Canis lupus familiaris: one gene and its partner. The protein of the gene in region 1 purifies or fractionates together with the protein of each later gene. This does not show direct contact. Links are inferred from orthologs where the notes say so. Each region holds a gene or a part of one and is shown on either strand. Other genes may lie near its edges. The genes, in order: TNS2 and SNTB2.

The links.
Region 2: the proteins of TNS2 (region 1) and SNTB2 purify together in Homo sapiens (affinity purification with mass spectrometry; 4 studies listed by BioGRID and IntAct, with this or other methods). This does not show direct contact. The link is inferred for Canis lupus familiaris from reciprocal best matches to the Homo sapiens genes TNS2 and SNTB2.

Annotation. Positions count from the first base shown.
Region 1 is NC_049248.1:44,547,368-44,554,960, reverse strand, and holds the end of TNS2 (tensin-2), read right to left. Parts: coding exon 7,003-7,593; intron 6,891-7,002; coding exon 6,740-6,890; intron 6,622-6,739; coding exon 6,029-6,621; intron 5,912-6,028; coding exon 5,822-5,911; intron 5,602-5,821; coding exon 5,476-5,601; intron 5,303-5,475; coding exon 5,210-5,302; intron 5,119-5,209; coding exon 5,041-5,118; intron 4,890-5,040; coding exon 4,812-4,889; intron 4,571-4,811; coding exon 4,402-4,570; intron 4,242-4,401; coding exon 4,173-4,241; intron 4,061-4,172; coding exon 4,031-4,060; intron 3,905-4,030; coding exon 3,766-3,904; 3' UTR 3,280-3,765; downstream 1-3,279. Other genes in the region: SPRYD3 (SPRY domain-containing protein 3), read left to right, coding at 292-349, 994-1,113, 1,201-1,373, 1,693-1,827. UniProt on the Homo sapiens protein: Tyrosine-protein phosphatase which regulates cell motility, proliferation and muscle-response to insulin. Phosphatase activity is mediated by binding to phosphatidylinositol-3,4,5-triphosphate (PtdIns(3,4,5)P3) via the SH2 domain.
Region 2 is NC_049226.1:80,929,901-80,938,386, reverse strand, and holds part of SNTB2 (beta-2-syntrophin), read left to right. Parts: intron 1-1,624; coding exon 1,625-1,809; intron 1,810-2,316; coding exon 2,317-2,409; 3' UTR 2,410-8,486. UniProt on the Homo sapiens protein: Adapter protein that binds to and probably organizes the subcellular localization of a variety of membrane proteins. May link various receptors to the actin cytoskeleton and the dystrophin glycoprotein complex.

The DNA of each region.
Region 1 (7,593 bases):
TGGAGGGAGGGTCTTAACCTGGGACAGAGCCCCCTCCCCCCATGACCTAGGACCCAATGGAAGGTCGGCCTGAAGGTGGGATGGGGTGGCCTGCAGCCCTGGCTGGGAAAGCCAAGTGCCCTCGTCCCCCTCCCTGCTTCCCTGGCTTCTCTAGTGCCCGAGAGGCGTGGGAGGCCACAGGGTTGTGAGCAGCCATCTGTCTGAAAAGATTGAAGGTTCACACGCCCTCTGTCCTGTCCTCTTTCCGCACATGGTACCTACCGTAGGTTTTCTTTTTCCTTCTTGGTGCAGGACTATCCCAAGAACAGACACCCTGGCTGGAGCAGAGGCTCTGTGGCTTATCATGCAGGTGAGTGGGGGCTGCCCTAGAGCTGCGGGGTATGTGGAGGCATAGAGACACGCCTGTTCCTGACACCCCCCCAACCCCCCGCGGATGGTCTCCCCTCCAGCCTCTGGCAGGGGAGACTTTCCCCGGCTGCTGTCTCCTCTCCCTTTCCCAGGCTGGTAGTGCTTTCTCCTGATTTTCCTCGTAGCCTGAAAAGCCAGGGGAGCCGAACAGGGGCGGGGGATCTGGGCCCAAACTGGACATTCCAGGCCTCTGAGTTGGCTCCCTCTGCGCCTTCTTGTAGATCCTGCCTTTTTTTTTTTTTTTTGGATCAGCTTGATTTCCTTTAGGGCTCTCTTTAGAAAGCAGTTGCCCTGAGCTCCTGGTGCCACCCCGTCCCTTCCTCAGCCCTCTCCCTCTCCCTCCAGCTCCCTGAGGGAGTCTGTCCCTCAGCCCCTTGAACAGAGTGTCTCTTTTTTAAATCTGGGGCCTCTTCCTATTTCTGTCTCCATTTTTGTTTCACCTTGACACACCCCCACCCCCGGGGGTGGGGCAGAGAGGGAGGCAGGCCAGCATTCTGCTTGAAGCAGGGACCTCTCTGTGTGCAGGGGCAGAGCATCAGCCCCTCCTTTGGGTGCAAGTCTCCTCTTCTCCCCTCCCTTCAACAGATGATGGGAAGATCTTCCATGGCAGTGGCGTGGGGGACCCCTTCGGGCCACGCTGTTACAAAGGGGACATCATGGGTTGTGGCATCATGTTCCCCCGGGACTACATTCTGGACAGTGAGGGTGAGTGGGTTGAGGGTGGCCGGCCAGGCGTGTCGGGCCGACGGTGGGGGCAGCACCACAGGGGCTCACGTTTTCCCGGCCTCCTAGGTGACAGTGATGACAGCTGTGACACAGTGATCCTATCCCCCACTGCCCGTGCCGTCCGGAACGTCCGCAATGTCATGTACCTGCACCAGGAGGGAGAAGAGGAAGAGGAGGAAGAGGAAGAGGAAGAAGATGGGGAAGAGATTGAGCAAGAGCATGAGGGCAAGAAGGTGGTGGTGAGTGGGGCGGGTGTGGGATGGGGGTTGGACTAGGGTTCCTGGGTCTGGGGGGCCTGCCCCTTGGGGGATAGGACGGGAGCCAGAGCGCGCCGATGAGGGGAGCCCTGGCAGGGGCTGCTGCTCTGAGGAGCTACGTGCCCCTGGGCCGCCGTGGGACCTGGTTTCCAGACGCCCCCTAGTGGCCACTTCCCGCTGAGGCTCCCCTCGGAGGGCCTGGGAGGGGGGGGTGCCCTGGGGTCCCGCCTGTGTGTCTGTGGCATCAGCAGAGGGGGCCAGAGCCAGCCTGCTCCACTCCTCGCCCTGCCTCCACCCCCAGGTTTTCTTCACTCGGAACGGCAAGATCATCGGGAAGAAGGATGCTGTTGTACCTTCTGGGGGCTTCTTCCCCACCATCGGGATGCTGAGCTGTGGGGAGAAAGTCAAAGTGGATCTCCATCCCCTAAGTGGCTAGGGGCTTCTCCCCTAGACCTGCCCTGCCTCCTTTCCCTCACCCTTTGCAGAACCAGGTGCCCAGTTCCTGCCTCCCCCCGGGTTTGCTTACCCAGCAGGCCCCAGGGAGTGCGTAGCCCCTCTGCCTCTCTCGGACAGGTCCCCGCCACGCCCCTCTGTGCCCACGTTCCTGACCTGTGCCATCCTGACCATCAGTCAGTCTTGGGCCTAAGTCCCTGGTTGGAAAGGAACAGGTCCAAAGGATGGTGTTGCTATACTGGTGGGTCCCCCTTGCTTTGGCTGGTGGACTCCCGCACCCGCTTTTCCCCACGGGCCGTGCAAGTGGAGAGGAGTGGGCCCCGTCTCAGCTGCTATTTGGGCATGAGGCTTTGCAGAGGGTGGAGTAGAGACTGCCCACTCCCCTATTTATCACAGTATTTCTCTTTGCATCTTCTCTTTTTTGTTCCTTGTCCTCATCGTGTGGACCAGTTGCTGCTGTCGTCCCCCCTGGCTGGGCTAGGGGGGCTCTCTCGGGCCTTCCCTCTCTTTCCACTGACTGCTGTCCCAGGAATGCTCCTCCGGGGTCTCCGCTCCTTCCCCTGACAGCCCGCTTGCTCCCTCGCCGCCTGCTCAGGTGCCGTAGAGTCCCACAGAGAATCTGGGTCTCCGGCTCCCCGCAGCCATACACACCTAGGTGGGTGTCCGTGGTGTGTTTAACGGAGTGAGAGGGGCTGCTTGGTGAGGGGGCTGGGCCTTGGCTCCCGTTCCCTCCTGGCCAGCCTTGGGCTACCCATGGCGCCCCATCTCTGGTTCCCTGGGCTGTAGGCAGAGTCCAGAGCAGTCTCTCCTGCCGTGGTGAGGCCGAGCCCCCAGAGCCGTGGTCGTGAGCCCAGAGGGCAGTGTGGCCCCTCGCCCCCGTTCCCCACCCCACCCAGGCCCCAGCTTGCTGCCTGTGCCAGTTGCCTGTTTTGCCTCAGTGTTTGACTCTAGCACTTACATGTGTCCTCCCCAGCCAAGCCCTCCTGTCTCCTGCCGCCTGACCCCGACCCCCTTCCCATACAGTGACTTCTCCTGGGAGGAAAAGGGGGCGGGAGCTGTTAGCCTTGGTTTGCACAGAGTGGGTGGGCCTTGGGGAAAGGGGGTGAGCTGCTGTGTGGCTGGGGTCCCCCCTTCGGCCCTCCGCTACGATGTATGAAATGTATGTACAGCCCAGAGATGTTTATACAGCCAATAAAGACGGAGTTTCTGTATTTATCAGTACAGTCTGGACAGGGGCGTCCTTTCCAGTCTATAGGGCAGGGGCAGGGCTAGAGGTGGGCGCAGCTGAGGCAGCTTGCTCGCCGGAGACCTGGACCAGTGTGAGGCCAAGGACGGGGATCGTGTGTGTTCTGTGGACCTGGCTGTGGCCTGGGATGCCCCAGGAGACGTGAGGCTTTGACCTTCCCATGAGCAAGGCTTGACTCCGACTCCGAGGTAATGTTCTAGAAATTCTTTATTAGACAAAAATAGACTCTTTTTTTTTTTTCTCCCCTATTCATGTGATCCCACTCTGATCCCTCTGCTCGGAGGGGAGGCAGAGGAGGGAGTGCCTTGCTCCCCGCCCGCCTCCCCGGCCTGCCAGGCTGGGACCTGCAGCTGGGTGGAGCTGGCAAGCCCTGTCTCCCCTCCAGGCCTGACGTTCTGCACGCGGGGCTGTCCAGATCCCCCCGGGGTCCAACTGCCGATGCCGCCTCACCCTTCACACGCCCGTCTCTGCCATCTGCGCACATGCGGGGTCCTCTCACAGGCCCATCCACTTGGCTTAGCAGGCTGGGGGCAGGGAGGAGAGCAGTGTCCCGGGCTCCCCGCTCCCGACGGAGGGGGCTGGCTCCTGGGGCTCCTGGGCCCGGGGAAGTGAGGACTGTGGGGTGCTGAGAGGTGCGCGGTGTTGGCGTGGGCTCCGAGCTTGTGGCCTCTGCCTTCACTTTCTCTGGCCCAGTAGGACTTTGGTGATAAAGGTGACAATGGCGCCCGCGGGCTGGTCTGGGTCAAGCTCTGCGAACAGGTGACACACGTTCTCCCATGGGCTTCCCGGCTTCTTGGCCACGAAACCAAAGATCCTAGGGGTGCAGAGGCAGAGTGGGGACGGGGCTCAACATCCCTTCCACAAGACACTGCTGAGCCACGGCTGGAGAGGGAGGCAGCGCCTGGGTCCCGTGGGGGGCAGGGGCTCGTGGGAGGCTCACTTGGAGGTGGTCCCGTCGGGGTTGGTCCATCTGCGGGAAGAGAAGGACGGTGAAGCCATGCACCCAGGGTGTGTGTCGCGGAGGAGGTCTGGGGGGGGGGCTGCCTGGCGGGAGCGTGGGCCGTGGGAGCCGGGACGCTCACCTCCGGTCCTGAGGATCGGTGCTGGAGAAGGTGATACTGTTCACCGGGTAATGGCGGCGAAAGAAGAGCCTGCGAAAAAAAAAAAAAAAAAAAAAAAAAAAAAAAAAAAAAAAAAAAAAAAAAAAAAAAAAAAAAAAAAAAAAAAAAAAGAAGAGCCTGCGAGGAGGATGGGGGGTCACAGCCAGAAGCGGGGGCCCCTGGGCTCCCTGGGCTTGGTGCACATACTCACTTCCTTTGGTTGTCTGTCAGCGTGATGCCCTGGGCCGAGACCTTGAAGTGGACGACGGCTGGGGTCGGCCGGGGGCTGCAGCTCAGAGCTGCCGAGCTGGCCCGGGCCACCGCCTGCGGGCCCGTCAGGGACTCGGTCTCCACCGAGGTCAGGTAGAGCACGCTGCAGGCTAGGGGCAGGAGAGGCCTCGTCCCTACCCTCCCCTCCCCTCCGCGCACCTGCTGATTGGCAGACGCTACGGTTTCCCCGGATCCACGGTGGAAGCTGCCGGAAGGAGCCCCGGGAGCCTGCGTTCTAGCAGGTGCCCATGATGCTGAGGTCCCAGATGGACGATCCCCCCGGTCAGAGACCCGCCCCCCCCCACGTCAGGGCCTCTCTGCGCCACCCCCCCTGTGCCCGGGGGCTCCTACCGGCGCCCTGACGGAGGAGGTCTGCCGCCGTGCTCATGTTGGCGGGCGCCGGGGCCTCTGGGGTCTCCTCCAGAGGATCTGAGGGAAGGGAGGGCCAAGGGCGGAGCTGAGCGGGGAGTCACCTTCCCTGGGAGCTGAAGACTCTGTTGCCCCAAGGGGGCACAGCCTTGGGCTCAGCGGGTGACGGGGAGCGGGCGGACGGACAACAGGACACCGACAGGACACCCACCTTTGCTGGGGATGCGCAGGCAGCAGGGCAGGGACAGCGGGGAGATGGAGTGCTGGGACACCAGGGCGGACAGGCTGCCTGCGGGAGGAGGGAGGCAGGTCCTGAGGCGCCCCCAGCTTTCCCGCCGGCCCCCCTGGACCAACCTCTGACCTTGGTACCCCCTGCTCACCAAAGTAGGGCTCGCTGGGACAGCCCTTGATCTTCACCCCTTTGGGCCCAGTCTCAATGAGGAAATGGCGCACCAGCTGCTCCAGGGGGTCCCCTGTGGGGAGGGGACAGGAAGGCTCGGTCACACCCTAGGGCCCAGCTTCTGCCCCTGCTGGGCACCTCCTGCCTCCCCCGTAGCAGGTGGCACAGCCCAGCCTGCCCTGTCCTGCCTTGGCAGCCTGTCCCCTCCACTCCTCTCCCCTTTCCCTCTGGTCTGGGCACGCGTACCTCTCCAGGGCTGGGCGCTGGGTGGAGCTGTGGCTACCTTGAGGGCCAGCCCATAGGCTCCTTGGAACGAGTGACTGTCCCTGATCAGGAAGGCGCCAGGGTCCTTGTCCTTCAGCAGGGCAATGGCTGGGAGGAGGCGGGAGCAGTGTCAGTGGCTGCCTGAGCCCCGGGTTGCCCCTCTGCCTCCGCCGCCCCAGCACTGTCGGGTCTAAACCTCCTTGGGCCCAAAGCCCAGAACCACCTGCTAGTGAGACTCAGCCCAGGGAAAGGGCGCCAACTGGAAGGACGGGTCCTGGAGCCAAGGCCAAGCCTGGAGGGGGATGGGAGCGGCACGCTGGCCTCTCACCTTGGTCACGGGACAGGTGTGGTTTGTACCAGAACTTGGACGTATCCTGGACGAACTTGACGTTGCTCTGGCTCTCTTGCGCAGGGGGCTCTAGGACGGGAGGGACTGGGCTCGCCGGTGCTTCCTAGCGCCCACGTCGTGTCCCTCTCCCTGGGAGGTGGACAGGGTTCTCCCAAGGGGGCCCCGCCCTCCTCAAGGCCTTTATACCTGGGGGCTGGGGGACTTGGTCCGGGAGCAGAGGTGCAAAGGTGACATGGTGACTGGTGCCCCTGGCTGGTGGGGAGGCCTGCTCGGGGCCCCAGGGCCCTGGCTGTTGCCCAGGTCCCAGCAAGTGGCGTTTCTCGGGCAGTGGCGGCTGCGAGGGGCCGCTGATGTCATAGGAAGCGGCCACGGGGAAGGCAGGCGTGGGGGAGCTCTGCGGCGGCTCCGGGCTGGCCACGAGCCAGGGCATCTGGGTAGGCACGGGGGTGAGGGGGGACCCGTCCGGACTATCCGGCGGGTCTCGGAGGCCCTGCCAGGGGGCATGGCGGAGGCCAGGCAGCGTGGTGGGCACGGGGCCCCGGGGGCTGGCGCTGTCCGAGCGGCTCCCTGGGCTCCTCTCCTGAGGCCAGTCGTGGGGTGAGCCGGGCGGGGAGGCGGCGGGGAAGGGGCTCGGGGCCGGGAGCTCAAGCCCGCTCCTCGCTGGCGCCTCGGGAGCCTTTTCTTCGGCGCCTCCCTGGGGAACGGACGGCAAGGGCTCGCCGGGACTTGGCCTCTGGGTGGGCACCAAGGTGGGGGACGTGGTGTCCTGCCGTCGGGTGCTGCAGTTTGGGAGGGCGGGTGGGCGGGCGGTTAGGGCGCGGAGCCCCGGCGGGAGCCGCTCCCCCCACCCCGCCCCCCGGGCTGCTTGGGCGCCCCCACCCCGGCCCCTCCGCGTACCCGTCCTTGCCCTGGACCGGGCTGCTGGTGTGCAAGGGCGTGGAGGGCCCCGAGAGCTCGGAGGGCGCGCTGCGTGGAGCATCACGGGGGGAGCGAGGCAGGGTGCTGTGCCCGCTGGGGCCCTCCCTCCAGGACGCCGGCTCGGGTGACTCTGGGGAAGGCGACAGGAGGGGCCATGAGCCTGCGGCCCCCGCTGCCCAGCTTGGCCCTGTCTCCCTCTGTGCCGCCCCCCCCATCTCCCTTCCCTGGGCGCTCGTCCTCACCTGCGGATGCCAGGGGTCCTGCTGGGGCCAGGTGCCCAGGCATCGGGTACCTGTCCCCTCCCTCCTCCGCGGGGATCTCGTAGCTCAGCTTCCTGGGTGGTGGGTAGGGCGGGCTGCCCGGGGAGACGGAGCCGGCCCGGGGGGAGTGGGCACCGGAGCTGGGGTACCCCCTGCCCTCACCCGGGGAGCCACAGCTCTGAGGCACCCTGCCGTACGCCGGGCAGTAACTGGGGAGCGCTCCTCCGTAGCCGTAGGTCACCAGGGCCGGGTACCCCGGATGCCCATACCTGCCGTCGGGGCACAGGGCGCAGGAGCAGCCCTCGTGCCCGTCCTCGCTGGCCTTGGGCGGCTTCAGGCAGCCGTAGTCGGGCATGGGGGCGTGGTGATGGCCGCAGGCAGGCACCAGCAGGGGCAGCGGGTGCCCGGGGCGCAGCGGGTGCAGCAGAGGCTTGCCCGCCTCGCCCGCCCACCCCTCCCCGGCCTCCCGCTCCAGCCGCAGCCCGTACAGGGCCGCAGTGGGCAGCGCCAGCTTCTCCTCGCACGCGGGGCACGAGCACAGGGCGGGCAGCCCCGGGTCCTCCAGGATCACCA
Region 2 (8,486 bases), on another chromosome or scaffold:
CCCTGGGATCATGACCTGGGCTGAAAGCAGACACTTAACCAACTGAGCCACCCAGGTGCCCCAGTTTTTTCTTAAGTAACATGCAGACACTACATTTGCTTTCCTTTCCTTCCCTCATGGGGGGAAACAATCCTAAACAGAACCTTTAGGAAACTTCTTTTTATGCTGTTAATGACTTGGCTTTGCTAGTTGCAGTCACCTGATCTGGCCCCACTAGCGACACACCTGGAGGCAGAAATACTCACCCACCTGCGTGGCGCCTTCTCTAGCCAGTGCGTCAAGAACAGATCCTTGTTCTTTGAGCTTTTCTTTTCTGGACTAGAACTGACCCCTCTCTTCTAATCAGATTTCACTATCCTAGACTATGCCAAGGCTTCAGGGATGTTGATAGAATAAAATTCTCATGAAAACTGTATCCTGGTTGCTTTGATTAGAATCTGTTCTTCCTCCAAACCCTTAGCTATTTATTCGGAGATCATTGCATTGAATTACTTTCTACAAGTAGTTTTATCCATGTTTCGCCCCTGAGGTTTTTTTTCCTGAGGATAACTAATATTCGAAGTCTTTTGTCCAAAATCCTCTTCTTTAAGTTGTGCTGAGAAGGGACACTGCCAATATTTGTCTGTTCTTCTTTCTTATTCCTTATTTTTAAACACAGATCTGTCTTAACTAATTGAATGTTTTTGCAAGTGGAGTAAAAGAATACCCTGATTGGTCTGGGTAGGAGGACTCACTTATTTGGAAGCTACTTTTTGTGACCGAGCATAGTGTGACTCTGATCCTTTATTGAAGTTCATCTTTCCAAGGGCTGAGTTAATTTCCAGGTCTCAGAGGACCTTATACTTGTAGCTCCGATACTAACAAAACTGCTCACATGTTATTGAAACAGAAACTTCACCAATCTTGACAGAAGGCATGTGTCGTCTTGATTAAAGTTTTTTTTCCCCTATCAATTCAGATCAATCCTTTGAATTTTATCTTTGACAGGACTGACATTGGCTAACTATAGCCACTACCTTCAATAATGAACATTATCTTCATCCTCTTCACCAATACCAACCAAACCATGTTACTACCCCTAAAAGGCATCTCTGCCTTTTCTCGTTTGTTTTTTTTTCTTCTTGCTCACTGAAAACCTTTCTGTATTGCCTATCCAGTCTGACCTATTCTTTAGGGCTTGTCTGAAGTCCCAACTCCTCCAGGAAACTTTTCCTTGATTTTGGCCTTATTCGTTCTAGTGTTTTAGTCATGTTCTATACATTCTACCTAATACAGTTAGGAATTTCATGTTTATGCCTATTCATTTATGAAGTCCTTGAGAGCAGGGACCGTGCCTGTTACTTCTGCACACACGGTCTACTGCCAGGCCCAATGTTTAATAGATACTCACTGAATCAAACTGAATCAGATCAGGTGTCATAGAAAAAGATACTTTTTTTCTCGCCTCAATCAAGATGTTGATCCAAGCAACCAAAACAAAACTTACTTTAAGGAGTTCTAAATCAGGTAGGTATCACATATTCTCAAGTAAAGATTCTTTTTCCTTTAAGTCAGAAGCATCCTTTTCCACTTGATAACTAAAGTAGTAACTTTATCAATGATGGATTTTCCTTGTCTTCAACAGGCTGCACACTAAATGGCCAAGAGGTAAGATTGACTGTCCACTATGAAAATGGGTTCACCATCTCCAAGGAAAATGGAGGTTCCAGCAGCATATTGTACCGCTACCCCTTTGAAAGGCTGAAAATGTCTGCTGATGATGGCATCAGAAATCTGTACCTGGATTTTGGTGGTCCTGAGGGAGAACTGGTAAGGGTGTTTCTGAAAAGTATGTTTAATAGGTATTATCTTTCTTTCTCATTGTTTCTTACCTTCTATATAGAAAATTATGGATTGATAGTCCATCTGGAGTCAGGAGATTGTTCTTCAGATTTCAAGATGTATTGGATTCTGGTTTCGGGTTTGTGTGTACACGTGTGTTTTTCTTTTACCCACGCTAGGAAATCATTCCTTTTTTTTTTCTTTTAAAGATTTTATTGATTGGGGCAGCCTAGGTGGCTCAGCGGTTTGGTGCCGCCTTCGGCCCAGGGCCTGATCCTGGGGTTCTGGGATCGAGTCCCACGTCAGACTCCCTGTGTGGAGCCTGCTTCTCCCTCTGCCTATGTCTCTGCCTATCTCTGTGTGTGTGTGTGTCTCATGAATAAATAAATAAAATCTTTTAAAAATGTAGAATATCTCATCCAAATGTGTTTATTTTGTTTCTGTTTATGAAAGCTTCTGTGTGTGGTAGTGATAATTCATGTGCTTTCTCCACAGACCATGGACCTGCACTCTTGTCCGAAGCCCATCGTATTTGTGTTGCACACATTCTTGTCAGCCAAAGTCACTCGCATGGGACTGCTCGTATGAGCAGCAAAAAATCAGAAAAGAGTCTTGAATGTCACAAGAAGTATTTCCACCTCAAAAAAAAAAAAAAAAAAAAAACACAAAAAGCACAAAAAGCAAGCTCTTTGCTCTCTCCTCCAGCACAGTGCCTTGACAAGAACCTGCAGATCACTGCTGAACAGTAACCGTGTTTAAAGAAGAGCCTGCCTTTCACAAGCTACCTTTGCCAGAAATTCTAGGACTCTAATAAGCTCCAAACTGAAGCTGTTGATTTATTGCCTCGTTTCCCAATGTGGTTTCTAAGTCACTAGGTTTATTTCCCCTGTGAAGAAGGATGGTTCGTTGTGGGGTTTTTTGGGGGACATAATCAAATATCCATGAGTTGTTTTTGTTTCTTCTTGCAGGATTTGTTTCAAGCTTAGCCTTGGTGTCTGGCTTAGTTCAACCATCTCTTCCCACATGCTAGTTGACAGCCGCCTGTGCTTCTTGGCCATTCCAAATAGGCTGTACATTCTGTCAAAGGCTACTGTCACTTAATCCTTCCACCTTTCGAAGTCCTCGAATTGCACACCAAAGCATTCTCCCATCTGTCTTGGCTCTCGTGCATCTCACCCTGGTCATCATCACCTTTCCAACACACCACAAGCTTTGTCACTCATCAGTGCTAACATTAGGACTTAAAATTTGTGAAATTTTATTAGTGTTGCCTTCCACTCCCTTTCTAGTGGTGACCAAGTTGGAAACCACTGATCTGAAAGAAGAGGTTTGCTTGCTTTAGATTTTTCTGATTTATCTTTGGTAGGAGCCAGGGGATGATAAGATTTCTTTTAAAAGAAAATCCTCATTTTAGCCTAAGCCATTTTTTATTGCTTACCAAATGTGCCTTTGGTTAGGGTTAGTGGAGCTTTATTAGTCACTATTTGAATAACTGGATATCACTGCCATTCCAGGGAGATCATCCATCTTAGTTTTGAAGAATAGACTTTGAGATGAATTTCCTTAGTAGTGTCTTTTCTAGTGGGCAGATCTCATTGAGGAAGATAAATCCTGGAGAGCCCACTAGCTTAAAGAGTAGGCTCTGCCTGTAAAGCCAGCTCTTCAGCACAAACATCATATTGAGCTGTTTTGGGCTTTGTGAGCCCATGCAGGATCCTGGCCCTGGTCCTCTCCCTTTGTGGCAGCAGAGTGGCATGGACAGGCAGCTGCTAACTCAGTGATGTTGGCATAGTAATGCATTCTGCAGTGGGCAGGGTGACGAGACCATGGAACAGTTTCCTGGGTTTTGCTAAGCATTGCCAGATGTCATCATTAGGACTTAGTACCAGTAAGATTGCTGATTTTGTAGTATTAAAGAATCACGCTCAGCTTGTTTTTCCTGATAATGAGGGAGGTATATATCTGAAAACATTTAAAATAGTATAATAGCTGTATAAGATGTCAAGATTACCACAGCCCCCAGATCTGAAAGAAAAGGTTATATTGACTTGGATGTTCTCTGAAGGAAAGTCTAGGAACAGTTCTCACGAGATTTACCAGGAGTGCCATAAAGAAGATGTGAGCATTCTGGAGAGTGGAGGAGAGGGTAGCACTCCAAATAGGAAAAACCCACAACCATAAATGCAAAACATGAGCTATTTGGTGTGAGTCCAGACTGACCTAGGTGGAACATCTTAAAGAGCAGATTCATGAGGAGAGAGTTAGTGAATTAGACAATGTAACCCCATTGTCTCCCCTCTGCCTGTCGGTCAGTCCTCCTTGTACATGAGATTAACCACATGTAGAGGCCAGGGAGAGAGAACTGTTCTTCCCCCAGCTACAGTTCTAGAAATGTTATTTGATCCACCTAAAACTGGAAATTGAAATCTAGAGTATGTCTTTCAAGAACTTTATCTTTTAGGGATTTATAAACCTATGTTTGGTTCCATGTGAAGTAAATTTGCAAGGGAACAAAAAAATAGAATCTTGAAGGTCCAGCTATGATTTCTGGAAGCAGAATTTCAACACATAATACCCTCAGATAAGGGAGCTTAGACACTCTTTGCCATGAAAGCATTATTAACCTGAAAAGTTGCACATGCAGCCACAGACTGCAGCAAAGCCATTTGTTTGGGGTTTTTTGTTGTTGGTGGTGGTGTGAAAGGCTAAGCCACTGAGAATATTTTCAGGGGGAACTTCTAAGCCCTGGTGCTCATAAATTCTATGAAAAAGGTCTCTAAAAAAGATGTGATGAAGATGTGAGCAGGAGAAGGTAAGGCGTGTGAGCCATTTTGACTCATTTTGTTCAAGCTTGAACTGTCACATATAACACCAAGGTCCATAGGGTTTTTTTTGTTTTGTTTTGTTTTTTAATCTTTGGAGTCTTAATGTGAAATAAAAATATGTGGGAGGTTTCCTTTGACCACTAGCACCCCTGACAGCAAGAGCCCTTAAGCTGCTTTTTTAACATCAGCAGCTTTCCAATCATCATCATGGATGACCAGGTTGTTCTTCAGTTAAGTGTGTTTGTGGAATTTTCAAACCACAAATGAAGTGCTTTTTATGAATGGGACAGCCTAGATAAATAGGTATTTTGTATTAAGATGCCAAAATATGGCAAAATATTTTCAAATGGTAACTAAAAATGGGCATTTTTGGTATTTCACATATTTTATAGAACAGCTTAACTTGTCATTTCTTTTTCATTTTGAATTGGGAATATTGTTGGGAATGTTGTGGGCTTCCATGTGTAGAATGGAAACTGCAGAGTAGTGTCCACCTCATCCCAATGGACCCGCTTCCTGTGCTCTCAACTAACCCCAGACCTGGGGCTTAGACATCTTCTCCATATTCCACACAGATGTGTCTACCAGTAGCCAATTGGCATGTGAAAATTCTTCCTCACTCCCTAAATTTCTCATTTTGCTCTCCAAAAAAAGAAAGAAAGAAAAGGCTCAGTTATTTCTTTTCTGAAAAAGGTAAGCCCTTTCCTGAAGTTATCAAACAAACCTTATCTGAAAATTAGTTTCTAAGATCTTATATGAAGAAATACTTTAATGTATGTTTATACAGTATTTATTAGATAGTTATAACTGTAAACTCACCTATCTAGTAGACAGTTTCAGGTTAAATATTGGAACATGCACAAGCAATCAAAAATATTACATTAAATGTCATTCATCTATTTTAAAGCCATGTTTTAGCACTTTTTAGGCTAGGTAAAGTCTGATAGTGCCTGCTTTTATCAGCTGTACCCTCACAACTTTATTGTGGAACATTATTAGATGGCAGGAGAGGTTGAATTATTTATTTTTTATATTTTTATAAGTGGAAAAATCTAACCAACAAATGATTAAAGTTGTCTCTGATTATTTTCCTAATTTATCTTCCTAAGTAGAATGGCAACAAAGCTTTTTTCAGCTGATTAAATGCACTTAGCTAATAAACCAAAATTTATTCTTTTTTTTAAATTTAGCTGTGTGGAATCTGGACAAGATTATGTTTCTCCCAGAAAAAGTTTTCATTGTAAATGATTTTGATGGACAGAAGTGTGACCACTTTTGAGAAAAGGTTGTGATGGATTTTTTTTTTAATTTTGTGAGAACCTCCAGGTCTTCTTGTTTAATTTATATGCATGTGGATATATTTGTATGTTTTCAAAAACATAGAAGAATCTCCATATTTTTAAATGCAAATTATATTGTAAGCTGCTATGCAAATTCTATTAAAAGCCCTACCTACTTAAAAGTTAAACATTTTTGAAGCTTTCAGGGAAGACCTGTAGACTTAAGCACTTTCTCTGCTTTTTTGTGTCTTATCTTGGACATTTACGCTGAACTTTGTTCTTATTATTTTCACTGGTTATAAGCTATTGATTGTACATAATATTGAAATTATCCAAATATCCAGCATACATTTCATTGTCACTGCCATCCACCATTGACACCATGAATGAATGGCTGGTTAGAAAGCCAAAGGTCATCTTTTTTCGATTGCTAATGAAGAAGTAAAATGCCAGATCTCTTTGGTCTCAAAGCAGATTGCTCTGGTCAGATCAAATAAGGAAAAGAGACTTCTTTAAATTTGGGACTTTGCTTAAACTTTAAGTTGAATTTGACCATAATCATATTCATTCTTTTTGTATGTATATCTCCATCAGGTCTATAATGTACCAGGTAGTATTATATTATATTCTGTCTTGAGTTTGAAAATCTCTTTCAGTTAAATTTGTTATTGTGGCTTTTTTTTCCCTCTTGAAGATGAAAGCAGAGGAATCTGCCATTTGCTACTGTTCTGTTTCTCAAGATTGCTTGGTAATCTAGAATTCTTTTGACTTTCTACATAGCGTCTTCAAAGATTGACAGTAGCAGTCTCTCCCCTGCCGCCTTTTTTAAAACTGTCTCCTTCCCTGTGCTGGGTATATAGACAATAAATGTGTGATAACAGACAGTTATAAAATAATTATGTTATATATCAGGATTATGTGTTTTTGAGCAACATAGCTACTCCTATCATGTAATGATAAGTGAAATTTATGCTAGAAATAGACTACTTAGTGGCAGATTTGAAACCATTTCTCTTTAAAGAAAAATCTGGCAAATTCTATCAAAGCATAGAATTTTTAGTTAAAATAAAGTACCAAAAATAGGTTCATAGAGCACACCTGTACATCTGTTGTCTTTTTTTGATACTAGCTAAACTACCAACTGAAAGAACAGTTGTTATGTATTAACAAAATACTTTTATAAGATTTCTTCTTTTGTTTCAAAACTGATAAACTTGAGCTTAATCTCCTGCCACCTCTTCTTCTTCCCACTTCAGGTGACTGAACCAAAGCACATTTAAGTTTTAAAAGTGATTCTGCATTTGATGTGATTCATAAATAATGCCATTTGCAAATGACTCCTTGTTCTCTAATGAAGGTTTGATTATATTCAACAAAAATCTACCATCTGAACTGTAATCCTTGAATTGCTCCAAAATAGATTGGTTGAAACCAAAAAGCTATTAATAGAGAAATGATACTTTATTGTATTGTTAGATTAGCTACTCTGGTAGATTTCTAGTACCTTTACTCAGTCCTCTTGTTATCCTACCTCCATGCTGTTGACACGCTTTATTTTAGTTTCTGAGTCCCTCTTTATCCTAGTCACATTTTATACCCTTGGAACTTGAGTGCTCTATCACCTCTTCCAAAGTGATAGAGAAGTCTCTCAGGAATACAGAAAAAGGTTCTTTGGGGGCCTGGAGGAATTCTGAAACTGCAAGGCTAATGAATGACATACTAATTCAAGTATTGTTTCATCTAATAAGCATTTATTAGGCACTCCCAAGGGTCCAGAAGAAAGTTCCTGCCCTCAAGTAGCACATAATCCATTATTTCTCAGTTACACCATGCCATATATCAATCAAGCAGCCGTTAAATAATTAAGCACTTAATACCTTTACCAAAATACATCTGTAGTTCTCCTGTGGCTAACTGGAAAATGTTTAAAATGATGCTCAGTCTTTGGTTCATGCTAATGTGAAAGAACTCCAAGTACATTTAAGTAGGTCATTCTTTTTATTATGCTTAATTTTCTTAATGCAAAATTAGACTTTAGTGGGGTGCCTGACTGGCTCAGTTGGCGGAGCAGGTGACTCAGTCTCGGGGTTGTGAGTTTGAGCCTCACATTGGGTCTACAGATTACCTAAAAATAAAAATCTTAAAGAAAAAATAATTAGACTTTAGTTTGGAAGGAAACATGTAGAATATCCCTAGGAATAAATCACACCAATAACAAAACTTAAGCTCTGTTCCCAAAATAGATCAACAGGAAAATCTTTTTTAAAAACTGCTCAAAAAAAAAAAAAAAACTGCTCCTTTTAACTATAAATAGCAAAGCTGAGTGTATATTTACAAGTTGTGCTGATCCATGCACTTCCACACTTAATCCTTTACACCTCATTGGCTGAAAAGTCCTTATACATGGTAAAAGGAATATTTGTAATGATGTGTCAAAATGCAGATATTTTAAACCTAGCAAAATTTCACTTATTCTAGAACACATTGACACTCAAACTCAATAAAAAGGACACCTAAAGGAAACAAGAGAGGCTAATTGAATTTTTCCATAATTTTCATA